Mytilus edulis: one gene and its partners. The protein of the gene in region 1 purifies or fractionates together with the protein of each later gene. This does not show direct contact. Links are inferred from orthologs where the notes say so. Each region holds a gene or a part of one and is shown on either strand. Other genes may lie near its edges.

Region 1 (8,373 bases):
AAATTGTCAACATCAAATGCTTCAGCAATGTCTGCGAATGTATTACTCTCTGCCCAGGGGTGACCATCTAGGGGGTCGTGTTCCTGGACAGGTGATGAGGGCATGATAGGTGTATGAAGTCCACTGTTATGATTAATATCCATATGTTCTCCGGGGTTCAGATCATCGCCCCACCAATCAGGAGGAGATATGTGAGCACCATTAATTGTCAGATCTAAGGGATCATTTGTTGTGTAGTCCACTGCTATGTCGGGTGAGAGATCAGCTTGTGAAAATAAATCCTCAATACTAAAATTGTCAGAACTACATTCGGATGATGGCGGACTCATAGGATCTGATGGCACTGAATTTGAGTCTGGGCCGTCAAGTAAGTCCTCGGTTTTAATTTTAATTCCCGCTATTTCAATGTCTTGATGTAATATTGAGGTCCAGTTGAAGTCACCTTTTAATGATTCATGTTCGTCATTATTGAAATGAACAACACTTTCATTTCTCAATGACTTTCCGTGACACATCGGTAAATAATCGTCTTCAGGTTCTTTCTTGATCTTCTTTAATGGAGGAGCAGAACATGACCCCTCTCGACTATTTCTCCTTTTCTTGAACACGCCATTGTCAATCATATCATGATAATCAGGATTAATTCTCCAGAATCCACCTTTGCCTGGCTCGTCTTTCCTTCTTGGCACTTTCTGGAAACATTTGTTCAGTGATAGATTATGTCTGATGGAGTTCTGAAAAAAAAAGATCAATAATTTAAGTATTGATATCAACTTTATAAACCTATGGTAGTGTAATTTAAACAAATCATTCATCATTGCTAGTTCTGTTGTTATTTTATTTATATCTTATCAATAATGCTATTAATTAAATCAATTACTCCCCATCATTTCTATTATATAATAATCCTTTAAACACCAGTATGTTAGCACCCTATAATCATGATAATATGATAAATGAGATGTATACAGAAAATAATCAATGTATTGTGAAGGTCATTTTGTTTTCCCTGTTTATCTTATTAAAGTTGACATAATATATGTGTACCAAATCTCATTGCATATCAGTAATTTAGACCATTGCATATTGTGTAGTTTTTTTCCATTTAATAAAATTCTATGTATTCAATTTGGTTATAAGTTTACTATGTCGACAGTACAGCAATAATGATTTAACACAACAGTACAGCAATAATAGTATTACACACACACAGATTACCTGACAAGTTTATATGAAATATTGATTAAACTTCGGGGCTATTCAAAGTATATGATGAAATTTAAATAAAGATTGGTATGTAGGTATAATTTCACAATATGGTCATTAAGTATTGGTAAAGTAAATTTATGACCAAGCTTTCACTATAACCAATTAAATATATTATTATATAAGATAAATCAGTACAATGTTAATATCAAGTCAGTAATTTCTATTAAATTGATTATAAAATGTATAAATTTACAATAGATGGTTTCAGACGAGAATAATTTTAGTCTAGTTTATGAAGATAAACCTATTTAGAACCTCAATTTCAATATATACAACTGTTAAGTCTTTTTTTTTTTTAAAGAATTTGTACATTAATTTTGTATAAGAAGAAAGCCTACAACCTATTTCTGAAGATGTCAACAAGTGAACAAAATGTGTCCAAAATAAAATAAAATACTAACCTGCCAGCTAGGATCTGCTAATCTGTAGTACATAAAGTTTTCTGTAATCCAATTGTAGATGGAGGACAATGTGATTTTACTTTTCTTGGTCTCCTTCATTGCCATACAGATTAGAGTGGCATACGAGTATGGTGGCTTCACATATGGATTGGTCTTATAGTCTATTGATTCACCGTTCAAACTTGTAGGTGGTGTGTCTCCAAGCTGAAACTTTTGCTCCATTTTACACTGAGGAGGAGAGCAAGAAACGTTCAATATAGCATTAGGATTCACTTTCATGTTCTTGTTGATTTCATTATTTGCATAATTTCCAAAGGGTACCGGACTTGGAGGTGGTGTTGGTGATGTGATTTTCATGATGTTTAGATTCTGTAGCCAGTTTAAACTGGTGAGACTGTCATCTAGGTTTGATCCACCATTGCTGCAGGTGTCAAGGGGATACTTAGCCATCCAGTTTTGCCTAAATTTGACGGCTAAATTCTCCCTTGTTAGAACTGGCATCTTCCCAGTCCTATTCTGCTGGTGGAGAGCGTAGGCCTGTGGGTACTTCGTCTTGGCGGTTAAGTTTGATCAATTCTAGAAGAAAAATTCCAACCTGAAAAATTAATACAATCTATTCAATTTCATTTCATATTAATAAATTGCAAGTACTATCAATGTTTATAGATATCAAAATAAAATCTATCTAAATAAAAACATTTTTTTAATGAATGTTAAAATGAAATTCCCCATTTCTATACTTGACCTTAATGTTAATATCATTGGTAAAAAAGGACAAATCTTCTCTTCTCCATGTTACAGATAAATTTAAAAAATAAAAAATGATAATACTAAAACTAAAGTAGTAAATTTGACAATTCTGATCGAAATTATTATCGGGCTTTTTAGTATATTTATAAAGGACATGTAAAACAACAATGCATGATTTAAAATAAAATCATGAATATAAAAAAAAAATGCATTCTGCAAATGTCAAAATAAAGTAATCATTAAAAGCAATAATATAAATAATAATATAAATAAATATCTTAAATGTTATTGCACACAATAAAAAAATGAAATACCTTGAGCTCCTCTAAACTTGTTTGACTTTCAATATAGTTTAAAATAATGCACAGCTATCCAGGGACTTTATTTATTTCCAAAGCTAAACGTGTTTAATCAGAGTAAAATGTGATCAAACTTGCTCTACAAAAAGGCGTCAATACGTGTTGTCCCTTTAAATCCGTTAGATTGATTTGATTATCATTGGACTGTGAAGGACTATTTATAGTATCATTGACACGTGTATTTACCTCAGAACAAACAAAATAAATTGTCAAAAACATATATGATTGAGAAAACAATGTCGAAATAAATCACTCTTTCATATTTGATTACGACAGATTGGTTTAATCAAACTTACCTTGACGGGAAATAAAAACAACTAAAATGTGTTCACTTAATTCCTAATTAGTTTTCGATAAGCCCAGGCGTGTTCATCAACGACCGCGTTAATTAAATCAACAAATTTCTTGATTAACTGCAAGCTCAAGCTTTTATTGCTTTACGGCCTTTCAGTTTTCAAATTCATTTTGATGATATTTAAAAGAAGTTGTCGATTTAGAAGACTTTTTAAGAATGAAAGCATTAACCGGGCATTGAGAAAATAAATAAAATTAGTGTGGCAACAATGTAAACCTTAGTAAACAGTCTCTTTATAATTTGCAAGTTGTTGACATTCCGCTATGGCAGCAGATAAACAATGGGGCCAAACTATGTAAAAGACGTTTAATTTGATTGGACTGCAATACACATCACAAGTTATCGATAAAGCTATTGGCTGCGTTATTGGTTGAAAGGTCATAATCGGAATACACATTCATTCATCTAAATATTATGGTTCCAATACACGTTGCCGGTAAACTTTCAAACATAAATAAATCTAAATGGTTTGCACTAATTCTGAAACAAACAATGGGAGCTGTTTGTTTTCTAATAGACACGCAGCCAAATGTGGTTAATATATATTTTTTAATTTGTTGATCTTTGTTCGTTGGATTTTTTCGGGGTGGGGGGGGAATTTATTTTAATGAATTTAATGCAGGACTGTGCTGGGGACAAAACATGATATACATATATAGTTTTGTCCAGGCATGTATAATTTATTGACGAACAGAATTATTCAGCAAATAGAGGGAAACGCAAATGGAATAGTGCTATCCAGTATGTGAACGACCATATATCTTTAACAAAAAAAAAGGGGGGGCGGGTACGGTTTTCCCAACAAAAAATATATTATGATCCCCAATTTGACGAAAAAAATATACTGGACAAGCAGATGACAAAAAAATTGTGAATGCAGATTTCCTCTACACCTAATCGTACCTTGTACAGTATAATAATTTGATTGATATCGTCGAAAAACTTCAAGTAATATTTTTTTCGCGCTGTGCGGCATGATTCTACCAACCACACATATCAAACAAAAAAGTTCGAACATAGCTGAACCTGTAGGGTGAAAAATTGTTAAAAACTGTTATAGCTTTAGATTTCCATGTTCAATAATCATATTCATTTGTATGTCTAATGTGAGCAAAATTGGATACTGAGAAAAAGAAACCGAATTCAATGATATAAAGAGTGGGAAAAAATATTTAAATTATCTAGATATCGGACAATTTTTTTCTTTCATGTTAATCTTTTTACGTGACTGAATTAATTTTGACTTGTTTTGAAAATGACACCAATTATACGACAAATTCAATTTTAAAGAATGTGTTTTCATAACTGACGTCATTTGGTGTCATTTCATTTAAATAAGATTTCGATGATTTAAAATGTTGTAATAAATAATGAAAACCCATTTGTCTTCTTTAACAGTTATTAAAACACGGACAGATTAAAAGTTAAACAAACAAATAAATCGTCAAAGGAATTGTCAATGGCATATACGTACGAAGTCAAACATAAGTCTTGGATATAAAACGGCTAAGACTGTGTTTTTAATTTGTGCTTTTTCTTTCTTTTTTATGTGACTTGAAATGCGAACAGGTAGATTGGGAGGGAAACCGCAGTGCTCCCAAAAAAATTGACAAGCATTGAAAATTGCTCATAAGACATAAACCGTAGTACCCCTACACGTCCCTTGTACTCAATCATAAATCATAAATTTGCGACATTTTAAGCAGTAACATGCATAACTTCCATACTGTAATCTATACAGTTGCTTAATAAAAAAAATGATACCACAAATTATTCTATACTAAACGAGTATGACGACAGAAGGGTTAAAAGCTAATCCCAATAGTATATCCCTTTTTGATACTTTATTGGGAATAATATATATGAATTCACATTAGTTCTTGTACAAGTTCTAGGCAAGTATCCTTATACAAACTTATATTAGTTCGTGTACAAGTTGTAGACAATAGTTCCTAAACTTGTACCGATTCTGAAACTTATTATTCATGTATGCAGTAACACTCCCTTGACGAAGTTTATCCTATTATACTTTTATACGGAATTTAAGCCGATCCAAACTTTTAAATTAAAATTTCGTAGGCGTGTAATATCTTCCACAATACTTGTTTCACCATTTTCATAATATGGGCATTTTAAGAAGAAAAGAATGCTTTTAGGTTCACGACATACATAACAATAACAATACGATAGATAGGTAATATACAGTGAAGAAAATATTGATTTGTTAGCTTGGAAATTTTAATTTCATGAAATCTACTTGGAACTATATTTTTTTTTATATTGGAATTTAAAAAAAAGGCGTTTCTATAGAAATACACAACTTTAAGATATATTATATATACGTCCTTGCTTTCAGTAGCAAAGCTCGGCATGAACATGCATTCGGTTGTTTTGTACTCTTTGGTTGGGTTGTTAACAATTGTCTCTTTGACACATTCCCCATTTCCATTCTCAATTTTATATAACGGTTTCCCATTGGACGATAAGCAACATACAGCCAACCAATCAATCAATCAGTACCAAACTTCCAAGAAGCTTTAATATACGGTAAGGCTAAATTACTGCTCATGTATGCATTATTGTCATCTGTTATCTCAATATTATTGACTTTAAAGTGTTTAACTTAATTCGAGCTGGTGTTTATTGTGCGTTGCCTTTCTCTGTGTCTGCACTGTTTAACTGATCCGAGTTGGAGAGTGAAAGGATTGAGAATATACACTTTTAATCCATCATTTTCTACATTAGAGAATGCCTGTACCAAGTCAGGAATATGACAGTTGTTATCCATTGGTTTGATGTGTTTGGACTTTGATTTTGCCTTTTGATTTTTGATTTTCCTTTTTGAATTTTCCTCGGAGTTCAGTATTTTTGTGTTTTTACTTTTTTTTTTTTTTTAATAGGAACTTTAATTTTTTTGTATTTTATAACTTATAATTAACCTTTTTTACCATTTCAGACAAATTACGTGTGAAAAAATGGTCAACAACAAATATTCAACAACAGACAAGTATCTATATAATAGTCTATGAAAAGTTGTGAACAATAACAGAGAATGTTAAAAAAACTGCCATAAAAAATTAAGTCACTTAAAACATGGTCAAACATTTGATATTTGACCAACATGCTACCGACGATGTTCCAAAATTGGGACAGCCACATGAACATGTGTGTGGGTTCTGATTTTTTATTATATACAACACACTCCCCCTTTTCAGTCTCAGTGACCCCGGGACATAAACGAATCATGCACTAATGACAAGTTGTTTCGGAGTCAATAAAATTGAGAATGGAAATGGGGAATGTGTCAAAGAGACAACAACCCGACCAAATAAAAAACAACAGCAGAGGGTCACCAACAGGTCTTCAATGTAGCGAGAAATTCCTGCACCCGGAGGCGTCCCTCAGCTGGCCCCTAAACAAATATATACTAGTCCAGTGATAATGAACGCCATACTAATTTCCAAATTGTACACAAGAAACTAAAATTAAAATAATACAAGACTAACAAAGGCCAGAGGCTCCTGACTTGGGACAGGCGCAAAAATGCGGCGGGGTTAAACATGTTTGTGAGATCTCAACCCTCCCCCTATACCTCTAACCAATGTAGTAAAGTAAACGCATATCAATCAATGCAGACAAAGATGTATATTTTTCTTTCCAGTTGCATTAGAATGCCGATAAGGATATTTTATTTGAAATTTTGCGAGCCTTTAAATTTAGTTTCGTGATAGCAAATATCTGTGTACCGACTACGCTGACGAATTTGCTTGTATATTTAAAAACAAACTTTTGAAATTACAAAAAATAAAATACCCCAAACACAGACACACACTAATAGAAATTCACAATCCCGTAAGAATAACCATTTACACATCCTTGCTACAGAAAAATGGAATGTTTTACTTGTTTTAACACGAAAAGGCTCCGGGAAACTAATTATTGTCTGAAGAATAATGGCAAAAACCGTAACTGTATTTCTATTGTGTACATTAATAATTAGCCATTGGAATCCATTGATTAAAGTTATATCATCTATACAAATATAAATAATTATTTGATAACGGGGACACATTAATTATTCGTATACCCTGTGGCACACTATTCTATTCGGTCCCAGGTTCAAAGAAAATAAATAATTACCACCAATACATGGGAAAATTTGTATTTTCAACATTTCATGTATTAAAGTAATTTTTAGCTTTTTGATTATTTTTATTTAATCTTATGTAAGGTAATTTCAATATTACTTCTAAAGGTCAATCAAAGGCAACCGAGTTCAATCCTTGTTGGGTGTTTTTTTGGAAAAAAATTTAAATATAAGATTCAAGTTTTAAAAAAAATACTACGCCAAAGCAAGAGAGCTGTAGGAAAAAATCTAAGAGATAGCCAACCCAGTCGTAAGTCAAATACAAATGAAAAACGTAAAATGGTAAAAAGACAATCAGCAGTTTACAAGACACAACATAAAGAAACTGGACAAAAAAAAAACAAATAAAAAAACCCGGATGTAACCTTAGGTGCTCCCAAAGGAAACACATATCCTGCTTCACATTATGGATTTGCTCATGTAAGTACAAACCCGTTGATCAATATATTTCGGTATGTCACATTCAAGGAAAACAAGACGGGTTCAGGATACAACAATTGGAATATGTCCGTGGTTATGGCGTAACTATATAAATATTCTCTCCAACCGTTTAAAAGTCACAAATGATAAATTTTCAGCAAAAAGATGTAAAAACATCACCTATTTTTAGTTGGATAATTTGACTAGAAAATGCAAAGTTTTCCAACTCCAGACAAAAGAAAAAAATGAAGGCTAAATTTGTATTTATCTGTTGAAATCGTTAATTTGAGGTAAAGTGGAACTCGTCTTGTTCTTGAGTTTCTCCACTATCCAGTTTGAATCTTGAGCTCAGTAACGAAAAGAACACAGTTATGAAACAAGTACAGTAAAAAAACATAATTCTAAATTAATTTAAGGGTGTATTGATACAACACCAAAAGACGCTGACTTGTTGAAACAATTACACTAGTGTACGCTTCTCTATGGAAAGTCTTCTTTTTCCAACCATATAAAAATATATCTAAAAAAAAAGAAGATGTGGTATGATTGCCTATGAGACAACTCTCCAAAAATGACACAGAAATTAACTGAACTACAGGTCACCGTACGACCGTCAACAATGGGCAAAACTTATACCGCATAGTCGGCTATAACAGACCCCGGAATGACAAT
Region 2 (7,994 bases), on another chromosome or scaffold:
TGCATCTTTCTGGTCTCCTGCTTCACCATTTTCTGATGAGTCCAAACTTCTTTTTCTGAGGTTATATCTGATTCTTCCAGGTTTAATGTCATTTTCCTCGCCACTGCTATTACTGTTAGATCTGTCTCTGCCTCCTTCTGGAAAAAAGAAATCATAAATACCCTTAATATTTTTCAAAAGAAATGAAATTCAGTTTATTAGTAAGTCAGTCTTATTAAAACCAACCCCCACTATCCACTTGCGTTTGTAAGTGGATAGTGGGGCTGGTTTTAATCAGACTGTAATTAAGTAATCTAATATATGAATATGTCATTTTATACTAATATTATATCATATATAATGCTAAAAAAAACATATACGTATGATCACATAAAGTTTACTGACCCGGTCAATACTATCAATTCTAGTTAAAAATTGAATGATGCAATGATGGTGGAAATATTTTTATCTATGGGATAACAGACAAGTAGATTTAATATCAAGATTCCCTACAGCTGACAGGTGTCAATTAATTAATTTAATGACAATAACAACTACATCTAATAAATGTTGAAATAACAAGAAAATAGTTTTTAAAAAAAAAGTTTGTTTTAATATTAAATTAACTCAGTTACTCCTGACTATTCAATAACATGATTATATAATTATGATACAACTCTTCCCTAATTTATGAAGGTCTGAAAAATCTATAAGCATATGAATGCCTTTTCATTGCCATATATTCATGCAAGCATGACCACTTCAGGATTTAGGTGTTGTTTTGATGTGAAAGTGTCAGAACTTACAAGGCCGAGAGCTTTTTAGCTGCACAACAGAATTAGTGCTGGAGACTAAATAGCAATAAATCTTTCACCATCATCATAATTAAGCCTAAGACTAACAACCAGAAAGCTTAACAATCAGAACATGTGTTGAAGTTGCAAAAAACTCTGCTACAGACCAGGGCTTCCAAAAAATATTTGAGCCAGCCGGACATTTTATATCTGATCCCGATTTTAATCCCTTAAGACTTAGTCACAAAAGGCAATTATGGTAATCAGATGGCCATTCCAATGATTGACATTACATTAAAATAACGATTTTAAACTTTACTTTGATATGAATTTGATGTTCGGATGTAAACTGTTAAATTGGCAGTGCATCATTCAAAGTGTGCACATCAGCGTGCTCATACATTTGTATCTGCCTTAGACTCTTTATTTGTGAAAAGAAAAAACTTTACTTTCGTTTTAAAATCACATTTTTCTAACCGGATGTTGACTTGACAATTGTAAAACATGGACCATAAACGGATACGGAAAATCCATGTACGTTTACAAAGCACAACTGAGTGAAGAAGCTATTTCCACGTTATTAATTCAACAAAATACTTGAAATGAACGTTATATACAGGTATAAATGATAATTTTAGCATTTTTGAAGAAATGTAGGATGCATAATTAAATTTCCTACCTGTGCACATCCGCACACATGTTCTAGTTCATACAACGTAGTTCTGACGATTTTTCATTTAAAACCTTTTTTAATTTTTCATCAAATCATGTTGATAAACTAATTTCTTATAATTTTAATCTTTTGGACTAAATCAATTAGATACAAACCGCTGAAATGTAAGAAAATAATTGTGAATAGACTGATCAATTTATACGATGTCCGGTACTGAAAATAGTTCACCTGTCACCTGAACAGGTAGATTTCAGCTGTCCAACTACTAATTAGCCTTGATTAAAATTAGAAAGTATTGAAGTGGAGGTTGTTTTGATAGTAATTAATCATTATGTCACTTTTATGACCGGAAATGTGTTGATGTTAAAGGCAAAAGGTTGGGTCAAAAAGGACGTGAATTATGTTAAAATGACCAAAAAAGCCTTGAAAACTAAAAAGTATATGACCGTTTCATGCTTTGCCCAGTCGGACTTTTACCGGACATTATACAAATGACCGGAATATACGACCGTTTTGGAAGCCCTGCTACAGACATAAAAAAAATAGAACTGTTATGATGTTCTTTTGGTACTGAGGATGCAATATAAAAGGATTGATCACAATGATTGTGATGAGAATGGTACAGTGTTTCTTATTGTGCCATGTGTCACTTCGGGGGCCTTGGTAGGTCAAAGTTGTTCCCAGCTTAACCTGGAGATCAATCCTCTGAAATCTCTTCGGGTTGTCTGTTCCCGCTGGGAAGCCCAGTGGTTCCCTCTGAGTACATCGGCTTCCTTCACAATATTAACAGACTTCCCGGTGTCCTACACGCTCTCTTGGGCGGTGATGGGGGTGGGGATTGTTCTGGTGGTGGGTTAATATTGTAAAGGACACATCTCCATTAATCCTTAGGGAGTGAACATGGATCCACTGTACCCTTGCATTCAATTGAGGGGTGCGTCTACACTGGCGGAATCTCGAAGTACATACATATTGCTTATAACCCTTGCTGGTAGAGTTGTAACTTTTGTATATTAGTAAAATCATGCTCTTTATTTACTAAAAGAAATGGTGTATGAACGCCTATCAATTTTTGAATTACACATGCTATATACTATTTCTAGACATCCTCTCTACTATTTTGAGTTCTTGGCTTGCTGTCAAATTGATGTACATGCCCTACATTATCATACATATCACCCTTAATCATATGTAAACAGTAAGATTTCAGCTTCAATGTCTATCAATTTATTAATTGGGGTTCAAATTTGACATGTACCATTTGGTAATATTGAACATGAACATAAAAAAGTTATCAAACTATAAAGACCAAAAGTTTTACGAAAATAGATAATCAACATAATCACAACTATACATGACAAAAAACATATAATTGATAGTTGTAGATAGCTTTATGTGTGTAGCTATTTTAAGCAAGCACCTCACAAAATCTCTCATTTTATTTGAACTATATATAATTTGAAATAAAGTTTAATTTATTATGCAGACTTGCTGACTGCAAAGAACGACTAAAAATACATTTTTTATAAAACAGACAATGACCCCTCGCAAACTCACCTTCGTTATTCCTTCTTGTTGATGACTGTTTCACGTTGGAACGATTTTTTGTATTCCTAGTACTATATCTAGTCGTTCGCGTGTTTTGACTAGACATATTTACAGAAATAACACGCCTTTCCCTGATTTTTTCATGAATAAACACTCCGGGTTACATTAGGTAGCCATCTTGAAAATTATTCCCATTTGAGTGGCTGTTAATTTTGTCGCATCACGTGACAATTTCTCGCCAATAATTGTTCTACTTCCGGGTAAACAACCCCAGGTGCACTTTTGCTTGGCACGACTGAACATGACAGCACCACTACAATATTTACCAAAAAATGTCCTGTAGTCTGGATTTTAATCTGAAGGAATATGGGTATCATAATTTCCCAAGATCGCTGACGAAGCAAGATAAACAACTTTTGTCTTCAGTAATGTCTAATGACTTAAAAATGTGTAAATTTGCAAAACAAACACTTTTAAAGGGGCACTAGCTACGATATATATAAAAAAATAAAGTATGATTTTTTTTAGATCAATCATTAATCAAATTGGAATAATGAAATAATAATTTGCTTTTAGCAATCAATTTCCTTTAATTTTGTTGAAATAAGCCATTAAACATAATTTTTGACTGATTCACTTGCAAGTGAAAACGTCATCATCATTCTAACCGGTATTCATGTGAACTTCAAGTTAACCCCTAGCTAGAGATTGACAACGCATGCATTGTACGTGTACTGGTTATTTAAAGAAAAAGAATGTCAACAATGAAAGTGAAACTACGGTAAATCATTTGATTACTAATTCGATGCACATAAAATCATTCTTATATGGTTAAAAACAATGAGAAACATCTATTTTTAATCTATAAAATAAAATCAAACAGACCTTTAAAAATGCAATTGCACGTGTTGGTTTAATCTATTCGTATCTTTATTTTTGTTTACATCGCTTATATGGTCATCTGAGGTCAAATCGATAGTTAATTAGATGGCGTCTGGACTAAAATACACACGAAACGAACCTATATATTATCTCCCCCATGCTCTGTAAACTGTTTATTTTAGACTTTTGATAGTTTGGATAAATGTTTTACATTGTTATAAACCAAATATGAGAATTTGAGTCAAATCGGTTACAATGAATTTGACAGCTAGTGCCCCTTTAAACAGTTGCAGTCTAAATAATTTATTGAAATACAGGCATAAGACAGAGCAAAATATCAATGCTAGAAAACTAACCATTGTCTACAAGCATGTTTTTTTGTCATGTTCAGGCCTTTTAAAGCTGTCTTAAGGTAACAGGTACGTAAATTGCTTGTCCGGCGATTTTTAAAAGAAATTGTATGTAAACACGTAGAACTTATAAAAAGAAAATGAAAAATCGAAAAAATTAAGTTTGTCACCGATCTAATTTCCGAGTTCCAGAAATTTGAAAATTGTTAGGAAACAACATAAAGTATATAGACATAACGTCAAATTCAAACCAAAAATAAGAAATTTCAAACTTTAGTTATTCTGGAGTTTAAACCAATCCTACGATTTTTCTATAAAAATCAAATGTTTTTAAGGTATTATTTTTCTTTCTTTTGATATATAATTTTCAAGGGGTTTCCGAACTCCCTTTTTATATATCAGCCGTTGAAAGTGTGTTGCTGACGGGAAAAGAGGGGAAAAAATCATGACGTCGCCGAAGGAATTACGCAACGTCAAGGCTATATCAGCAGAATTGTAAGGACAACGACTGCTTCATTATAATTTGTTTGGCTATTCGAATGCGCAATTAAGCATATTATCCTGTTTGAAAAAAGAATTGATTGCCTATTTTTGATTTTCAGTTATTATACGAGAACCTATGTATTTATAACGTCATGATTTCTGGAATGATTAAACACAGTGTCAAGTGACACTTTAAAAGATTTACAAATGTTTATAAATATATATAACAGAAACAATAAAAGATCTGTCCTTAAAATAGATTCTCCGAATGACGATATACATTCAATGTTCACATTTCCGACCACAATTTTGCTGCTTCAGAATAAGGGAGGCGAAATATACCACGCAACAGGAATTTCAAACCTATAAGCCGAAATCATACTGACAATGCCATGGGAAAAAACCCCGGAAAACGGCCAAAAGACAAACAATAGTAAATAAATGGGGAAATGCGTCCATGGGACACAGACGATGCCCCCGCTTGCATATAAAGTTCTAAAGTGACGTAACTAAAAACATTAAAGTGACGCTACCCAAATTTGTACTTGATCTTAGTTTAATTGTTATAAGCATTGTGCATATGTTTATTTACATTTGGTTGAGGCAAACTAATCTTAGAGAACGGAAACGAAAAATGTAGCAATTTTTCAATTTATTATTGGGCATAACCCTAGAACGGTAAAAGTGACGCCACCAAAATTTAAACTAGATCTGTGTTTTGTGGTAATTAGCATAGTTTATAAGATTCCTAACATTTGGTTGAGGCAAACTATAGTTAGAGAACAGAAACCAATTTTGGGACGGACGGACGGAAAGACGGAGAAGTGTAAAACTTACAGCCCCCTCCACTACGGCGGGTGCATAAAAAAAAACACAACAGTAAACTTTTATTCCCCCGATAGTTGCAGGAGGTCATGCATATAAAATATATAAATGTATGTTTCTATGGCACGAGAACAACACAAACATGAACACATACTTCGATCCAAATAGTACTGGTCATTTGCAAACTTAAATGGTGTGTTTAATATGACACGAAAGGAGATGTGGGAAAAATGTAAATTATAGGCAAAAGTTAAACAAAAAGAATATTTCAAAGTTTGATGTATATTATCCCTAATTTTTTTTCCTATCGTTGGATTTGTTCCATTATTATAGTGAGGACAGTGCATATATGTGAATATTTAAAAACAAATGTATATAAATTCCAACTTATTCATCTTTTGGTTGTTTGTTACTCAGCTTCGCCGCGGTAGACAATGTTTTCTCGGGGTACAAATCTGCTCTATCCAGAACTCAGCTATGTGTTATTTATAAATTGTTCAACACGGACTTTGAACACACATTATAGGACGTTCTGATAAATGTATCAAGTCTGTTTTTTGTTAGCTGTAATGATTAAGCTAATTATGTACTGAATAGAAAAGCTGCATGTGATTTTGAAGAACCGTCTTCGAGGGAGTTTTAACGTATTAATTATGCTGCTTTTACATTTAATGTAATTGTGAACTAGGCATTAGATGTTGCAGCGATTGGAAATAGCCAACGGCATTACGTACTTCGTAATTTATGCCAACAATATTCCTGTTCGTAGAATTGTTTGCAAAGTTTTATTTATTGCGAAAATTGAGAAGAAATACGTAACGCAAAAATGAAAACTCTAATTAAAAAAAATTACAGCAGCATTTGCACATGTACATTTGTACATGTATACAAATAGTATCAACTGAAATCGATATAACCGTAGTTCCGAAATTTTGCGCATTTTAAAATGAATTGATTGATGCACCCAGAAATTTCTAAATTTTCAATATTATATATGTACATGTACTTTGCTATTTATTTTATTTTTGAAGTGGCGGTTATCATGAAAGAATACTTTTCATGCAACGGATCTCTATTTTACCCTTGCCGCTTTTTCACGTTGGAAGCTCACAATGTTCCATTCAATTCAAATTGAATGAAAAGCAAGGTGTAACATTTATTTTAAATTTTTGTTCATTTTAAAAAACAGTTTTACTTCCCGTTTGTCCGTGCATAAGTCACACAGGCAGCAATTAAACTCTTTTGCTTCAATATTTTTTTACTATAAATTATTTGTTTTAAAATAGTACTAGTACTTTCATTTTCAAACTCTATTTATAGACCATGTCGCGGACGTGAAAGAAAGCACTGTAAAGAAAGCCGGGTTTATGTTTATATTTAAATAAGAAAATGGTTATAGAACAGGAATATCAAATCATGAATATCAGTATTAACCTTATTTTTTTCGAGGATTGAATACGTCCTAGCCGCTTTCACTGTGACAGTTGTTTTGGGAAATTTTGTTTCTTTGAATGCAAATGACTGAATGTAAGTCTGTGACTATATTTGCTTTGGAATTTCAATATATAAAATGACAATATATAGTGTAAGCTTTAATTTGTTAAATAATAATGTGGGAGTGTATGTGTGTAATGCATGTACGAGTTTATGATATTCTTATCAATGCTTCATTTCGTTTTCACGTCCCATATCAACATTCCCGATCTTCAAGTCACTCTGATCTGTGCCGATTACCAGCGTATAAACATATGTGCAGTTACCCCAACGTATAAACAAATTACTTCCGAGACCGATTTCTTGTACTTTAAACAGTTTTGTAGAATTATTATGGTGAATAGAAATTCTTGCAAGCATTTATGTTGGTCAGCTAGTTAACCCAACTCAATCACTCTCAGACTCCGACCATCACGACATGACAAGTTACTGTCATTTTCATGGGAGGGAAGCACTGTTTAACTGTTACAAGATATTTCATTTTACATACTTCAATTTTTGTTACATTTTGGTGAGATGCATTCAATTCTCTTCCACCAAACTGACCATTATTCCGACGAAGCGGAATATATTCCGACATCTTGAATATATATTTTCTGGTGTACGGGAGATAACTCCCATAGCAACAAACGTCGATTTTCCCGTTTTCCGCTAGAGGCGTTCATTTACGTACCTCTCACCTTAACTTTATTAAGAATGGGTTTTGGTTTGACTATATTTTTGAAGGCCTTACTATAATGGTTCCCTACGACTACGCAACAATCACTTTTCCATTGTGGCGTCAGATATTTTGTTTTATGACGTCAAAATTTTACGGGAACCTGTATGATATCCAGTAATGGCTGACAAATGGCGATAAGGTGTTTGCATGCGTTTAATAGGTACTTGTGGCCAGGATAATTATTTTTGTTCCTCCTGCTTTTTTACCAAAATCCTTTTTTGTTTTTTTTCTGTCAATTTCAATTA
Region 3 (8,414 bases), on another chromosome or scaffold:
AACAGCTAAAAATATGATATCAAATCCTTAAAAATTTGTACAGAATACAATTATAGTAAAGATTAAGTTGAATTCAAAGTCATAAAAGGGGGTTAAATTTGTTGATGACCAAAAGAGGGGTCAGTTTTCATTAATAGCAACATCAAACCTTCTCATAAAAAATTTAATATTTCAAATTTCTTTGTTTGTGTCAGACTATTGAGTTTATTACATACTGTCTTGAGTGAAGTATTTTATCTGTAATTTTGTTGATGAGTGTCTCTTGTCCATTGGAATCATGTATACTAGACTCGAATCTTTCTATCTCTTCTTCTGCCAATGGACCAATAATGTCTTCTATTTTTCTTCTTAACACTTTCACAAATTCATGCCTGTAAAATAAATTACAAGATCAAAACTGATGCACCATATCTCTATTTAGAAAATATATTTCTTCTCAAAACCAAATAAAATTAAGTGAAATGTATAAAAAGTTAATTAATAATAAAAAAAAGTACATTCATAATGTTTTTACTGTTTCCAATATAACAAAAATAACTGCAATTTTTTCATGACATAGGTTTAAGAACTTAAAAAATTCACAGTAAATGTATGATTTTGCCTTTATTCTAACCAATTTCTATTTAATTCTTTTTTATATACAAATAACATTACCAATATTCTGTATGTATTCCATGGTTTCATTGAAATTAATTGTAAACTTATTTTTATTGGGAGTATTATATAGTACATTTTTTCCTGGAGTTTGTTGTAAAAAATGCTAACACAAAGAAATTATAAGAGACCAGAAATATTTTGCTTTATATTACATGTATAATCAGCCTTGATTATATCAAATGAATCCATCTTACACTTATTTATGAAATTTATAAACATTTGTATCTGGTATATATAACACACTGTTAAAAACAACAATGTTGAATAATTTGTATATATTCATATAGAAAATGTAAAACAGGTATTACGTCTTGCTCTATTGAAGAGAAAATATAAGATTTAATACTCTAGCTGGGAGTATTTTGTACAAGAATTATACAAAAAAAAATGTTTCATGAAATATTTTGCTGATGTGTAAAGATAGATCACAAAAGTTTTACAATAAGGATCAGGTATAACCACCCACTTTCTGCCACCATTGCCATTAGTGTATGTTAATAAAGTAAATGATGGTACAAAAGTCAACATGATCAATGTTTTAGAAATTACAAAAATCATATCTGACCTATGGAAATGTTCATCATTTTCCTCTAGATGATACAAAGCTTCTTCTGATTGGTCAACAGTCCCAGCTTCTCTTATCTGAGGTTCGAAACTAATGACCAGTTGTCTCAGATTCTGGACCAAATCTTCACCCTCCAAACCTTTCCACGACATTATCTAAATACTGTGTCTACTCTGGAAAAACAAATAATATATTTATTGAATAAGAGTTTCAATAATTTATATTGATCAATTTAAATGATAGAGCAGTAATATGAAAAATATGTGATGTACCAAGAGAGGAAAGTCCTATTTTTTGTAAACAAATAATGTTGTCTAAAATTTTTATTCATTAAATATTTGATACACTAGATTTTTATCTTTTCTAAAGGAACAGAATGTTCAAATGAACATGAATGGTCAGATCATATATATGTTTGAGTATGTCAATTGAATATTTAGAATAGATACTATGCATACTTTGTAATGGAAATTATGACTTCAATATATATACACGAAAACCCATGAGATGAGGATATGTTTGTTTTACTTAATATTATTGGCTCAATAAATCTTGGTATTAAATTGGGGTGGGTCTTACCACTGAACACTCAAAATACCACCAACCACAAAGAAAAACAGTAATATTAAATAAAGTGCATGTAAGCACTGAATGGTAAAGATTACTTCAATTTATCAGGGGGAAGTAAAGATGAATATTGCATTTTATAAAGCATTGGGTGTAGTGGATTTAACAGTCTGGACAAATGATGACTTTAACAATGCATGACATCATTCATATTTCTAAAACAGATATTAGATTCCTGCACCTTGCAAAAGTTATGTAAATTTCTTGTCATGTGTAACATCATTTTGTGCCTTGAATATCTGAGCATATATTACATCGATACTCTTCTGGAAATGTTCATGGGTAGAATTTATAGAATGTTATGATCAATGCACTATATTTTGTGTACCAAAAAGGTAGTGATCAGCCTTGGAAATAGGGGGAAAAAATTGTGAGTTGTCCTTGACAGTTTACAGAGTGGTCTTATAGACTACTTTTCTGTTCAATGTAGATATTTGGTCTTTTAATCTTATGACTTGTTAATAACTTAAATATGATATTTAGGTCACATTTATAACAATAGAAGACAAAAAACAAATTGGGGTGTTTTTTAGTGTTCGGTGGTGAAAAGATACAATGTAGGCAACTGACTCTCCTCATAAATAAAAAATAAAAATACATTTGTGTCTGTACATGTATTTTATTTTTCATTTACATGTTGTACTGTTAGATCAATCATCCTTAATCAGAACGATAGTTGTATGTGTGAGTGTATGCGAGTGGGAAAGAAAGGCTTTTTATTTTTACTTTATCTGTTTATGTGATTACATGCTTGTTATGAGCCCTATGATTAGGAAATAAAATATTTTTATCTAAAAGACCTACTGACATGACTGATTAAATTGTTTGTTTTAGTTATATATTCTACTTGTGCTTCATGAAGGGGGAAGGACCTTAATCCGGACTACGGGATCGGGTGTTTTTAAGCTCAGGATTTCTGGATTGACCCTTTCGGGATCCAGTAATTCTCTTTTCGAATTTCAGGATGACAGGATTTAAATTTATTTAAATTTAGGACCTCAGGATTTCATGATTTTAAGGATCAGGACCCCTCATACCCCCTCTCATAAGACATTTTCAAGGGGATAAGGTTCGGTCTTTTTATCAGTTAATGTGTATGAGGTCCATTTTATGAACATGCATGCAAAGCCAAAGGGTACTAATGTGCTAAGGCATAACATGGTCATGGTGGTTCATGAGACAGCTAGTAATAGACTAATGAGAAGTTTTTCCCTGCTAACAAAATCCTAATACTACTTTGCAAGTGAGTGTAAAAATAATCAATCAGTTGATGCATATTAAAACAGTCTGATAAGTATAAAATTGTCAATTTTAAATGGAAAATAAATATTGTTTACTATTTCCGCCATATTGAAAATGTTCCTAAACTTCTTTTCAAAGGACAGCGCTGATTGGTTAATAGCACACTTTTGACCAATGAAAATTTATTTTATAGAAATTTGGTTGTCAATCAGCATCAGGGGATCTGAGAGGGGAAATTATAACGTTATAATATGATTTTTATCAGTGTTAGATAAAAGTATAATATTTTACAATGTAACTTTTTTTCACGATCATGTATGTTAATATTTATTGTACATGCAATAGGTCATAATTTGTAATGTAAAAACAACATAAAAAAAGTTGAATTATTAAAATATGTTTGGAGTGTATATGACGGGTAGATAAATTACGTGCTTTTGACATACGTACTTGGGATAGGAAAATCTTTTGGTTGCCCTCCCCATTTTTTTTCATCAAACAAACAATAATAACAGATTTTGAAAAAAGGGGGACGGCAAGAATAAAATGTCCTGCCTCCAAGTATCTATGCCTTTTGATCTGGTCATTCTATTTCGGTTGATAATTTTGAATTTTCAACTCTCAACACTATAGCTACACTAAATATAACGGAATTTGATGAGACTGTCATCAAATAGAAAGGGTTAGCGCTATAAAACCAGGTTTAATTAATCCACCATTTTCTACATTTGAAAATGCCTGTACCAAGTCAGGAATATGACAGTTCTCATGGTTCTTGTCCATTCGTTTTTGATGCGTTTTGTTATTTGATTTTGCCATATGATTATGGACTTTCCGAATTGATTTCCCTCTAAGTTTAGTATTTTTGTGATTTTACTTTTTTTCCACAAAATCTTATCGAACACCAATTACCTATTAATTTAAATGCATGGTCGTTGAAAAAAGGCTTTCTTTTAAAATCTAAATATACAACTCAAGTGTTATTTCCTATTTCCATGTTAACTAACAACTATTCAACGATTTTTGTGATAGCCGAGTGATAAGTTTGACGGTATTATAACCCAGTATGATGCTTTTTTTTTTTTTGAGAATATGATTTTTTTTTAGATATTTGCCATTGAACCAATTAATGAAGTGAATTTAGTTACAGATATAAGTCAAGTTAATCGACGTATCATTAACATCAGAACTGTTATGGATTGTCAATATCGAGTCTTGCAAATTTAAGAGATTAAAGTAAGTTCAAACTTAATAAACCGTAACATGCATAATATTTTTTCAAATATTCCCGTTATATCCGCATCTATCTATTTAATGTAAAACAATACCACAGAAGAGTAGCGAGAATTAAAACCCACAATCTAATCATGGAACGTCATTGACGTTAATTATTACGTCTCATTCTCTTGCCTTAGTTACGTTGGAGAAGTTGCTGCAGATAGTCATATCTTCCTAGATAGATCAGACGTACAAAAGTTCCGAGCGAGAGATAAAAAAAAACCCAAAAACAGCAATTTCGACCATTTCTGATAGAAACCTCTACATGTAAGTTGTAATTAGTTTCGTGATAATGGTCTTAAAATATAGATTTTTTTAAGAGTTAAGTTAAGGAGAATTTTCATGCTGATAAGCCTTTACTTACCGAGTTTCTTGCCGTAATACTTTGTTTGAATAAATGTTTCAAACCTAAAATTAATTGTCGTTCATAACGATGTTTCTTCAAGTCCGTGAGCATACCCCATCTTCTTAATAGTTTTAATTTACCACAAAATCAACAAAACTGTATGTTATTGAAAATATTGAGTGAGAATCGTAGGATTCAGGAATACTGTTTGTACGTTTCGTTTGGTATGAAACAATGTAGCCATTTTATCTGCAAACCGACTTTCGGGCCTGGAAATTTTTGGGGGTTTTAGCTGACTATGCGGTATGGGCTGTGTTCATTGTTCATACGATCACCAGTAGCTTTCTGTGCCATTTTGGTCTCTTGTGGAGATCTAAAGTTGTCTCATTGGCAATAATAACGCTTCTTCTTTTTTATATTGTCGTATTTTGTAATTGATTTACAAGATAAGAAAATTGTTCATCATCGAAATCGTTTTGTCTTCTCCATAAATGAGTTCTACAAAAAGGGTAAATTTATATAATTTGGTGAGTATTTTAAGAGAACACAGAGTTTCATACTGTTGATATTATCATCGCTGTTTGTGGACTAACCAACCGATGACCGTTAGATATAGTATTTTATCTTTGATTGGTATTTGTCTTATTGTGCTGTTGGTATGTTGTCGCGATTAAGTTCGTTGCTTGTCTTGAGATTGTGACACAGTGATGACTGCTGTAACTATATTTTGACTATTTTACCGATTATGTCTGTTTTGTTGACGCATCGCGTAAAAATAACGGAATTTGACGCGACTGTCATAAACGTGAGATGTTTAGCGCTATAAAACCAGGTTCAATCCACCATTTTCTACATTTGAAAATGCCTGTACCAAGTCAGGAATATGACAGTTGTTGTCCATTCGACGTTTGATGTGTTTTATCCTTTGATTTTGTCATTTGATTAGGGACTTTCCGTTTTGTGAATTTTCCTCGGAGTTCAGTATTTTTGTGATTTTACTTTTTGCTTCTGTAACCATACTGAATAATATTTATAGTCTTTATTGTTCACCAAATTTTCTTTGAACATATCTAGACTAGCTTCGTAATATAAAAAAACACTACATGTACAACAAATCATATTCCAATGATAGAACATGATTTTCCTTCCCATATAACTACTGCAAAAGTGTATTGATGAGAACTTGGGTAAGTTGTTGTGCCACGTACATCATCAATGCTTTGTCTAGAAGCATTACATATTGGATTTAATTGGAGTGCTACTTCTATATTTGTTTATCTAACTTGCGGAAGACATTTTGCTGCACACGAACTAAAACATCCATATGTAAACAGTAAAGAAAAGCAAGAAAAACCACGTACATAATGAATTAATTATTATTTTTCAGAATGTTTGACCTTATGAACATGATTACTGGATACCAAACTAATTATTTAGAAAAGTTACTAGGAGTAGTAGTTTCATCCCAACAGTTCATTTCAGAGCACATATTAACTCAATGTCTCACCAGTTTCACAGAGGTTACCATTTCAACACAGCAGAATATAGCTGAGTGCACTAGGAACTATTTTGACGTGTTACCAGACACTTATATCAAACCCAATGATTACCCATTGGACCAGGCAAAGTTTTACTACAATTCAGCCATTGACTACAATAATCAGATTACAAACATGATGAATCATTATATAGATGATCTAGTTCATCCAATGTTACAACAGACAACAGATATCACAACATATACGTACAACAACTTAGTCCTACCAGCTGTAGAGAACACATCAAATTGTATACTCGCCTTTATTTCCTTGTCGGAAAATGTAAGCAAACTTCTTCAATAATTATCTTAACTTGTATGTTTTATGTTTTTAAAATGATCCATTATTCGCATTCTATCCTATTGACATACTAGCTTCCATCATCAATGGTCGACTGATATTTATGGTCACAGAGTCACCTGTTTAACTTATGTTTTGTCATCATTGTTTTGGTTTTATCTATCTTATATATTAGCTCGTTATTTTTTTATTTTTCTTCTACTAGTGCTATTTGAATTCGTTAATACATTTTTTGTTTTCTCTGTTGTTGTAACTCAATTTCTTTTTTTATTTCTTTTCTTTCTCTTTCCTGTATTCTGTTTCACAACCATCCTGTACACAGTACCTGGCTGACTTCAGCAAACTACAGTTATTCTGTTTATTGCTTCTCTTCTTTCTGTTCTTTTGGATGCAAAGGAACGTCCTGCTGACAAGAAACATGAAACAAGGTGTGATAGTAAAATAATTACCTTATATCTCTTGATCTACATGCTGTAATATAAAGCACGCTCCCCGAAGTGTCGATTGAGGCGATACTTTTTTATACAAATGTAATTAATTCAATATTATACATCAAATCATTTTTTAAAATACAGTCACGTATTGCACAAGTTATGATGATTAAACGAAAGAGTTTATATATAAGGAACACTAAATGCAGATATATGACATTTTTTTTATGACACTGTTTTTACGTGTATTTCTGGATTGACTTTCATCGGGTACATTCGAACAGGGACTTTTTATACGTTAGTGTAGAAAGTTCCCGATTCGAAACAAAAATACCGTGTATCCAATCAACCACAAGTCCCAACCCACAAGTCAACACCATTCAAGGTAACTTTCTTTAAATAACCGTTAATTCAAGGGGTGTTTTTTTTTATAACGAATACAATTATTAACAATTTTGAAACCATACTGTTTCTAAAATCAAGTATCACGCCAGCTTTATGAAATACATGATTTATCATCCCCAGATATATGATATAATCACCAGCCGACGGTCGATGATGAATGTCATATCTCTGGGGCTGATGAATTATTTTATTTACTTTTATGAAAGAAAAGTTCCATTCCCTGGATTTTTTGAAATGTGATTTTTTTTAAATCGTGAAGCCTCTGGACCTGACAAAAACAATGTATTCTGAATAACATTCTATTTTTTTTCTTCAGATATGAACGTTTATCGTAGTATTATGAATAAGTTCTTGTGGCAAAATGAAACGTTATTAATTGAGGTTGAAGGTAAGCTAGTGTTAATTATATGCATGGTAACTATCATTGTTTTCATCTCTTTTGATGAATCAGCAAATTTTGAACCACAGGAGTGATTTATTATCATCTTCGACCGTTTTCGATTTTATTGAAAGATCGGCCTTATTTGAAAAAAAGGTATTATTTTAGCTTGTTCGTGATATTTTTATCATCTTTCTTTCTGGGTTATATCAGGAACAATATATAGATATACTAGCTGTACCCAGGGTATATGTAATTTTCACTAGCTGTTCATTGAATGAGTAAAGTGGTTAATCAATCCATTTGTCTTGGAAAATATAAAATATATTTCATAGCAATACCTTTTAGCAAAAAACTTTAATTGCAGGGTCGTTCTATGCTTTGAATTGGTGAGAACTAATTGTTGGACCCTTTTCATTTAAATCCTTTGTGTGAACAAAAATAGATACTGACATACGTTTTTAATTATTTAAGAGCTCAACAGACGCCTCAAAAAGAATAAAGAAAAAAGAATTCCAAAAACAGTTTCTCGTATTGAGAATTTGTACACATTGATGGACAAGAGTTACGATAAGAAAACTCGACTTTTAGACGAGCTGAACTATTGGAGCCCAGTAATCATGGCCCAAGAAAATAAATTGAGGAT
Region 4 (8,382 bases), on another chromosome or scaffold:
ACGACATATTTTATTTTATTGAACATGGTACCTTGTATAATTATGCAGATGACAATACTCTGTCTTATGCTGACAATGATTTTGATAATTTATTATGTACACTCGAAAGAGAAAGTGCTGTTTTAATTGACTGGTTCAGATTTAATTGTATGCAGGCAAATCCTGACAAATTCCAAGCCATTGCAGTTGGAAATAAAACATTTGCAAAAAAGCCTGTTTTTAATATACAGTCAGCAAAAATATCCTGTGATGAGATTGTCAAACTTTTGGGTATTGATATTGACTATCAACTTAATTTCAATCACCACATTAAAAATATTTGTCGTAAAGCATCCCAACAACTGAATGTTTTAAAGCGCATTGGCTGCTACCTTACTAAATTGAATAAACTGACAATTTTCCACACATTTATTTTATCTAATTTTAATTTTTGTCCTTTGGCATGGCATTTTTGCAACAAAAATAACACCACCAAATTGGAAAAAATTCAGGAAAGGGCTTAACGATTTATATATGAAGACTATGTTAGTTCATATGATGAACTACTTTTACGAGCAAAGGTTCCATCACTGAAAATAAGACGTATGCGTAACATGGCTATTGAGTGTTTTAAAATTTTATATAAATTGTCACAACCATGCTTACATGATTTAGTTGTTTTGAAAGACTGTAAATATAATTTTAGATATTCTAATATTGTAGATATACCTAGGGTCAGAACAACAACCTATGGTAAGAACTCTTTTAAATACACAGCTGCTGTTTTATGGAATGATCTACCTGATGATTTTAGAAAAATTGCTAATTTTAGTCAGTTCAAAAATATTTTAAAGTCATGGAATGGAAATGACTGTAAGTGCACAGTTTGTGCAGACTTTTAGTTTATATATTATGAAAATTTATTTACCATCTAGATCATATCCCATTTTTTTTTTTTTTTTTTTTTTTTATGCTAAGCATTTTTACCAGCTTTTATGCCTAGTTTACACTTATATGCTTTTAGCCTTAATACCTAGCTTATGCTTATATTCTGCTTTTAGTGCTTCATTTTTGTGCTGTGATATTTAATGCATGTGTACTATATTATAATGTATTATATTGTTATAAATGTTGTACTGTTAAATAATGTCTCATATGTCGGTTAAAAGCTCATTAGAGCTTATGTTTGTCTATGTTTTATATACCATGCCGACTCTAAATAAAGCTTATTTATTTATTTATTTATAACAAACCTCTATATGTTTGGCTTTAAGGACAATGCCATGAGCGCCTTCTCCTATCCTTCCCAATATTGTATACTGTTCCATTACCAATCTATAAAGATAACTAATATGTACCGAATGTTGAATGAACTTAAAACTAAAACCAAACTGTAATATGGTGCAGTCCGATGCAACTGCCCATCTAAGACTTATGACTTCTCTTAATTAAAAACTGATAAAACAAATAATCGGATAAAATCGTGAGAACAAATTCACAACATACTTTTATTTCATAAAATATTCTATATAAATACGGTTTTAACCTTAAAATTTTGTGTAATATGAATATAGAATAGAATAGAATAGAATATTTTTTATTACCAAATTAGGGCCCCAGGAGGGCATATGATACAGACAATATTATTATAAACAATAACATATGCAATACACACACAGTAAAAGATATGTAACAAGTGTTATAAAAATGATAAAATAAAATAATATAACACAGAAAATACACTCAACAAAATAGTAGCAATGTATTATTATTCAATGAATACTATGTGTATAAATATGTGTCCAAAATAAGGAAAACCCCTGTGGCAGTGGAATACAATTAAACCATTTTTTCTGTACAATTCTAACTGTTTGAATGATATTCAGTTTGGGTACAATATGCTTTTTATGTCGATTAATTTGTAAAAAATACTTTGTTGTTGTCAGGAAAGCATTTTTTTGGTCTAAATATGGTTTCTTTTGAAAAGAACGAAGACAAAGGGACATAACTAATATCTAAATTTGTTTAGTCCACGTTCGTCCCACACCATTTCGCCCCTTCGATGTTATCATAAAAAATATACACTTGGAACAAAGTTTTCTTCTTGTGATCAATACACCTATATTATAATTAGAAAACAGAATGGTGATATTGAAAAGAATTTTGTTAAAATGATATATAAATTGAATAAGTGATTAATTAAGTGGATAGATTACTATACTGCAGATCCAGATATACCAACCTAACATGTAGTCACTCAAGTTGTGCTACTCTCCTTGAGTAGTAATAAAACTGGAAATAAGAACTTCATATCCATAAAAAGTTTTTTAGTGTTCCGAATTTTTTTGGAACAATGATCAGTATTAGAACACTGAGGGCGGATCCAAAAGGGGGGGGGGGTCCGGGGTTTGAACCCCTTTTTTGGACGATCAATGCAGTTGAATGGGGACATTTGGCTGGAACACACACACCCCTTTATCCTGGGTTGGAACCTCCTTTTTAAAATGGCTGGATCCGCTTCTGATTAGATTGTTTCATGTCAAGTTCATCATGTGATAGAATCATGCGAAAAAAAACTGACTGTGTGCTTGTACCATCCATTTGTGTTAAGCAGTTCATAAAACAACATATACTCTAAATCTTTATCATTGTACAGAGCTACTGTGATAGAAAGAAATGCGATGAGAATTGTGAATCTGATACTGGAAATGTCAAACTGATAAAATAGGGTTTAAAACAAAATTTGAAAAATCTTTTACAACCGTAAATTTTGTCATCATTAATTTATTAAATACAGGCTTGCTTTTTCCAATTAAGAACCGGCAATACGAAGGCTCGTGCAGCCACACGATGGATTAAGTGTAAAGACGCCACAAACAGTCTGGGAAATATGTGACAATTGCATCAAATATGCATACATAATATCACGAAAATGTAAAACCACAAGTTATTATGCATACCAAGATCTTACTGCGGTGATAAATTGATCATAATTTATTCTTTAATAATGGGTTTATTCAGAGGTGCAACGAGTTTACACGGATAGTGTCTAAGTTGATAGGCTTTTAAACAACATTACTGTCAAAATTAGGATGTAATATCTGGTTAGAATTGAATCTTTGAATATATGAAAGAATACATTAAAAGTTCTAAGTAATATATGATAACGTACTCCCTATCTCTTTAACAAATGCTTTTTTCCCATTGAAGAATCTGATTTTATAACATCAGTTGTAGATCAGCACTATTGCATCTACCTACACCCAACTAAATTATAAAGATAATCGAAGATGTGGTACTACGCCAATGAGACAACTCTCCACAAGAGACCAATGACACAGGCGCTAACAACTAAGCTATTATGACGTTACGTTACCATTCGATATCGGCGTATCTCGAAAATGGAGTGAAAAGGATCTTCTTGTGTTATAATGACAACTGTATCCTTAATAGAATACAATCCAGACAATGGACCCCTCCATTCACCATCAACTTCAACTAAAGGGTTAGACAAGACAAAAGTTGCTAAGGTAGATATGAATGTTTTATTCAAAGAATATCTAAAAAGATATTAACGAAGCCAAATTACATTCGATTGTATAAACGCTCTTCAAAGATGATTAATGTTACCAAAGAAGATCGTGAAGTAAGTAATTCATCACGTGTTGAACTTAGACAATTGTTTTCTGTGAAAACTTAAAAGTAATATAGGTTTTAACAAATGTATCTTTTACGTTAACTTTGATTTTGGTAGTTCAACACTGCTTTTTGTTCTCGCCGCGACATTGGGCACTGACGCAGCTTACAACCAGTCCATTATGATCCACTATCCACCAATGATTAATAACAAAAACAACTATAAAGCCTAGCGCCCCCCCCCCCCCCCCCCCCAAGAAAAACCCCATACGAATTTACAACTGGATAGGTGTATAATAAGAATAAGCCACACAAAACAAAAATGTATTATAAAACTCCAACGTCGACGTACCAGATGACCTATCTCGAACTCCTTTGTATGTATAGCTCCTGTCATTTATTTGTTTTTACTCCCCCTTTTAGATAGGTAGTTTGACAGCGGGCAACCGAAGCAGGGAAGGCAGCTGTGATGTCAAGGAAATACAAGGGCTATCCCTTTTAAATACAGAGCTGACACACACACTTAAAAGTCGAACTGGAATACGTAGAAAACCGAGAGAGGTACGTGCAATATCTAAAGAAAAGAATGTGTTATAATAATCCGTGGTATTGTATCTCACTCGAATGATGTGGACAACTTTAATCTAGTGCGTAATCACCATTAGGTACTGTTGAAACCAAAATTTTAAAATGAAACACTTAGAAGAAGAAGAAAAAAAAAACAATTAGATAATCAACCACATATTGCTTATAGCTTCTAAGAAAACTCTGACAGTTGAAGATTTCACTTTAAAAAAAAAATCAATCTTTACTAAAATTCACAACATGACAACATCATGTGTATAGTGCCGGTTTGATAATTTGCAAATTTTTAGTAATTTTCGCAAACATGAATAAAAAAAAATCTCAAACAAAAACCCAAATTCCATTGAGAGAAAACTTTTGCCAGCCGCTATGTTGTTCTTAGTTCAAAAACATATTCAGTTTAATGTTTGACAAGGTTTTGTTCCAATATTGTAACAAAACCGTCTTCGACAACGATGTAAAGCGATGAAAAGCATTTTCTTTTTATGAAAATTTGTACAATCTATAATTTGTATTGTTGCGACTTTTCTATACACATTCCAGGTTTTACCTTTTTTTTAATTTGGAGTCTGCGATTGACAGAAATTCAGTGGAAACTGGACCTACCTCTTTCTTATAGTTATATGAGTTGTAATACTAGTTATTTTATATGTCCTTTTTCTTAGTTCATTAATGATAAATATCAGGTATACCTATACCAGATATGCCGCCACTGAGTGGTGTTGATACATTGATTTGTTGCAAAGAGAATGGAAAAAGAAATTACCAATTAATTTCATGAATATAAAAACACAAAGCAGACCTACATAATATTCATTTTTTATGTTAAGATTGATCTTCTTCCACAAAGACCATCAACTACCCAGTATTATCAGCACACGTTTTATGATCCTGCATGCGCCAAAGATGATATACAAACAGGACCACTGAGTGTCAATGGAGAAAAACTGGACGCTCTATCCAACCTGCAGTTCCGTCTGGTAATATTTCAAAAATGCAATTACATAAGAAATTGTCAAAAATGTATATAAAAAACGTCTAGATATATATATTAGTCAACGATCCATCCTTCTTACGAGGACGTTGGGTCGTTTGTACATAATCTAACTGATATGTACGCCTAATAGTATACAAAACATCATAAACATGATGATTATTGAACTCTATGAATCAGATATAACAATCTGAAATATAGAATTGCACCTCTTCAGGAAAAGTTGACCTCAGGCAAGTTATGCAAATTGTGTACATCTTTGACCGTAAGTTTTCTAACTTTTGGCTTTGAATGTTTAAAGTGGGTCGACTTGTATCCCCGAAAATGACACGAGTAGCTTTGATTGTATTTGCTTAACCATACTGTTTGAACACAACTAAGAACACTGTATGTGAAAAAAAATCATAATTAAATTCTACCTGCACATGCAGGAACATTTGCTTCTGAGAGATAATGGTCATCATGGGGTCATACTTTGTACATCTAGCAATAGATGGCCCCGACATGACAAAATGTAAACAATTAAAAAATGAAAAACCTTTTGTTAATGGTATTAACTCTTAAAAAATGAATTACAGTAATTGCATTTCTACATTCTTTGTTGATTTTTATTGCAGCCAAGTACGCCACTAGTACATAGACGGCAGTATTACATCAGCCAATCATTTAGCAGTACAACTTGTAGTGAATGCAGCCAATGTGGTGGAAGATCGTCTCCCGATAACCCACCGTCATCTCCCATTCGAGAAACGTCTTATTTGAAGTTGGATGGTAAAAAAATGTCATGTCCTGATTTCAGATCTAAATCTGAGGTAAATATTTTTAATGTTATCTGCGTTCCAGCTAAAACATAGATTCAAAGATCGTTGACAAAAGATTAAAAACACAAATATCAGAAATGTCACTGAGAATTTCAAAATCTTACATGCTTGACTTTTATTTAATAGAAATATAAGAATCATGTAAAATATCATGAATTGTTGGCGTTTAAAGCCACTTTCAGTGATATTGGCTATATCGTGGCAATTAGTTTTTATTGGTAGGGAGGTTGGAGAGAACCAACGACCTTCTGCATGAAACTTGAACTGAAAATCCTGATCAATTAAGGTTGATGTCAAACACTGCTAAGACCACTCTCATACCGATTGAGGCCTCCCTAAAAAGATAAAGTTTCATTTTATATTACAAAATATCGAAACATAAGGAATATCTTCATCATATTAGCCAAAACAAAACTTCAATAGAAATCTTCTGGAGCGTCTAGCTGGTATCATTTGAGAGCATTTTTATTGTGTAAACTTTAGACGCCTTACCGTTCATCGTCGGTCTTCTGTTTCTAGTAATTTGTCTTGTTCGCGTATTTTCCTCTTATTTGTAAATATGTATTTCACTTTTTCCTCACTAGGTTTGTTATGTTCTATATAATACTAAAATATGAATATAAGGGCAGTTAAATAACGATAGAAAAATAGTCTTAATAATTATCCAGTATAAGTACATGTAGTAATAAAGTGTAGATACAGGTAGAATGTGAAGTCTATATTTCGCTTCAAGTGGTAAGCTAGCGTTAAACTAAGAAACTTCAGTCTTTAAAAACTTCTTTAACTAATGCTTACGTCATACATTTCATTCTGGTATCAAGCCTATGTTATCAAAATACTACATTTTCGTAGAAGTTCAGTTTAGAATTCATAACGAGGGTGCAAATTAATATTTGAAAAGAAATATTTCTTTCTATTATCGGCAATGTGAAAAATATTCACTTCACGCATTATTAATAAAAAATATCCACGTACAAATTAATCTAGCTTCGTAGGTGCCGGTGGCCATGAACTAGCGTCACCACAAAATGCATGTCACCGGTTGTTTGACTTTGTAGTTGAAAGATTTCAAACCCGGATTATTAAAGAAAACGTCGTATTGCTGTGTCAAGTGTGAGGGTAGAATGATAAGCCACGACACGTTGATGATGGAATCGGAAAGTCCTTTCCAGTCTTATTTCCGCCAGCCAGCAACTTATGCAGAAACCCTGCCATATGACAACATACAACCACTACACCCAGACAAGAGCTTGGAAACTTGTGAAGAACTGATTATTGACCAGCCTCTAGAAGACAGTTTTCTAAAAGACGATATGTTTACTTTACCAGAATTACCACACCCTATAGCCAATGTAGAAGTAATATCTAGGGATGTATTAGAACGCTGTAAAGGCGGTCAAAGATCAAGGCTCAGCCCGAGATACCTTCATCACAATCAAAATAGAATGAGGTCTGATGAAAATGAAGAACTGTCAAGTTCAACTTGCATTATATCCAAACAGATATTCCACAGTTCTAACAAAACAGGTATTTCACAGTTCTAACAAAAGAGGTATCTTTTACATTCAGGTAGACGTTCAAATTAATGTACAACTATCTGTTTATCTTTTAAACAAATTTATTGTCATATCTTTGTATGCTTTAAAGATAAAGATACACAGCGACATAAACATAAAAAAACCAACTGAAGCTGTCAAATTCAGAGAAAATTGTTTTCAATTTAAAGGCGTTTACTTTTAAGGTTGTTTGACCTGCCACGTTCTTTGTGTATTTTCCAATATATCAAGGACCATATAAATTTAACCTCATTTTGCCATTAGAAACAAACACTAAAACCACATAAATAAAGGCAACAGTAGTATACCGCTGTTCAAAAATCATAAATCGATAGAGAAAACACTTCAGGGTTACAAACTAAAACCGAGGGAAACACATCAACTATAAGAGAAAGACAACGGAACAGAAAAAACTGAAGAGAAACAAAAATCAAACGCCAACATACAGCGAAACGGACTATTTGATAACAACTGCCATAAGTGGCATTTTCCAAACTAAGTCTTCCTAGGACCATAATCATAAAAAGACACAAAAAGCTATTTCAAAATCAACCCCTGCACGGTAAAAGTGAAAATCATCAATATCAAACTTGATTTCCATTTTTTCATCTTCAACATCATATTAACTAGAGGCTCTAAAGAGTCTGTGTCGCTCACCTTGGTCATTGTGCATATTAAACAAAGGACACAGATGGATTAATGACTAAATTGTGTTTTGGTGATGGTGATGTGTTTGTAGATCTTATTTTACTGAACATTCTTGCTGCTTATAATTATCTCTGTCTATAATGAACTCGGCCCAGTAGTTACA

What was found. The genes of interacting proteins can lie anywhere in the genome.
Region 2: the proteins of forkhead box protein J1-B-like (region 1) and F-box only protein 11-like purify together in Homo sapiens (affinity purification with mass spectrometry; 3 studies listed by BioGRID and IntAct, counting the BioPlex papers as one, with this or other methods). This does not show direct contact. The link is inferred for Mytilus edulis from reciprocal best matches to the Homo sapiens genes FOXJ1 and FBXO11.
Region 3: the proteins of forkhead box protein J1-B-like (region 1) and protein broad-minded-like purify together in Homo sapiens (affinity purification with mass spectrometry; 3 studies listed by BioGRID and IntAct, counting the BioPlex papers as one, with this or other methods). This does not show direct contact. The link is inferred for Mytilus edulis from reciprocal best matches to the Homo sapiens genes FOXJ1 and TBC1D32.
Region 4: the proteins of forkhead box protein J1-B-like (region 1) and cyclin-dependent kinase 20-like purify together in Homo sapiens (affinity purification with mass spectrometry; 3 studies listed by BioGRID and IntAct, counting the BioPlex papers as one, with this or other methods). This does not show direct contact. The link is inferred for Mytilus edulis from reciprocal best matches to the Homo sapiens genes FOXJ1 and CDK20.

Annotation. Positions count from the first base shown.
Region 1 is NC_092352.1:1,713,736-1,722,108, forward strand, and holds the start of forkhead box protein J1-B-like, read right to left. Parts: upstream 3,439-8,373; 5' UTR 3,351-3,438; exon of another isoform or gene 3,076-3,350; intron 2,911-3,075; exon of another isoform or gene 2,735-2,910; intron 2,266-2,734; 5' UTR 2,172-2,265; coding exon 1,671-2,171; intron 735-1,670; coding exon 1-734. UniProt on the Homo sapiens protein: Transcription factor specifically required for the formation of motile cilia. Acts by activating transcription of genes that mediate assembly of motile cilia, such as CFAP157.
Region 2 is NC_092346.1:84,490,493-84,498,486, forward strand, and holds the start of F-box only protein 11-like, read right to left. Parts: upstream 3,250-7,994; 5' UTR 3,101-3,249; coding exon 3,004-3,100; intron 138-3,003; coding exon 1-137. Other genes in the region: EF-hand calcium-binding domain-containing protein 11-like, read left to right, coding at 3,327-3,419. UniProt on the Homo sapiens protein: Substrate recognition component of a SCF (SKP1-CUL1-F-box protein) E3 ubiquitin-protein ligase complex which mediates the ubiquitination and subsequent proteasomal degradation of target proteins, such as DTL/CDT2, BCL6, SNAI1 and PRDM1/BLIMP1.
Region 3 is NC_092348.1:15,689,504-15,697,917, reverse strand, and holds the start of protein broad-minded-like, read right to left. Parts: upstream 3,250-8,414; 5' UTR 3,187-3,249; intron 1,396-3,186; 5' UTR 1,375-1,395; coding exon 1,223-1,374; intron 372-1,222; coding exon 216-371; intron 1-215. Other genes in the region: uncharacterized protein, read left to right, coding at 6,104-6,535, 6,876-6,981, 7,706-7,777, 8,243-8,414.
Region 4 is NC_092344.1:102,311,187-102,319,568, forward strand, and holds the start of cyclin-dependent kinase 20-like, read right to left. Parts: upstream 3,250-8,382; 5' UTR 3,152-3,249; intron 1,984-3,151; exon of another isoform or gene 1,912-1,983; intron 1,547-1,911; exon of another isoform or gene 1,526-1,546; intron 1,327-1,525; exon of another isoform or gene 1,315-1,326; 5' UTR 1,308-1,314; coding exon 1,233-1,307; intron 1-1,232. Other genes in the region: uncharacterized protein, read left to right, coding at 3,411-3,509, 4,039-4,176, 5,031-5,180, 5,812-6,006, 7,074-7,542. UniProt on the Homo sapiens protein: Required for high-level Shh responses in the developing neural tube.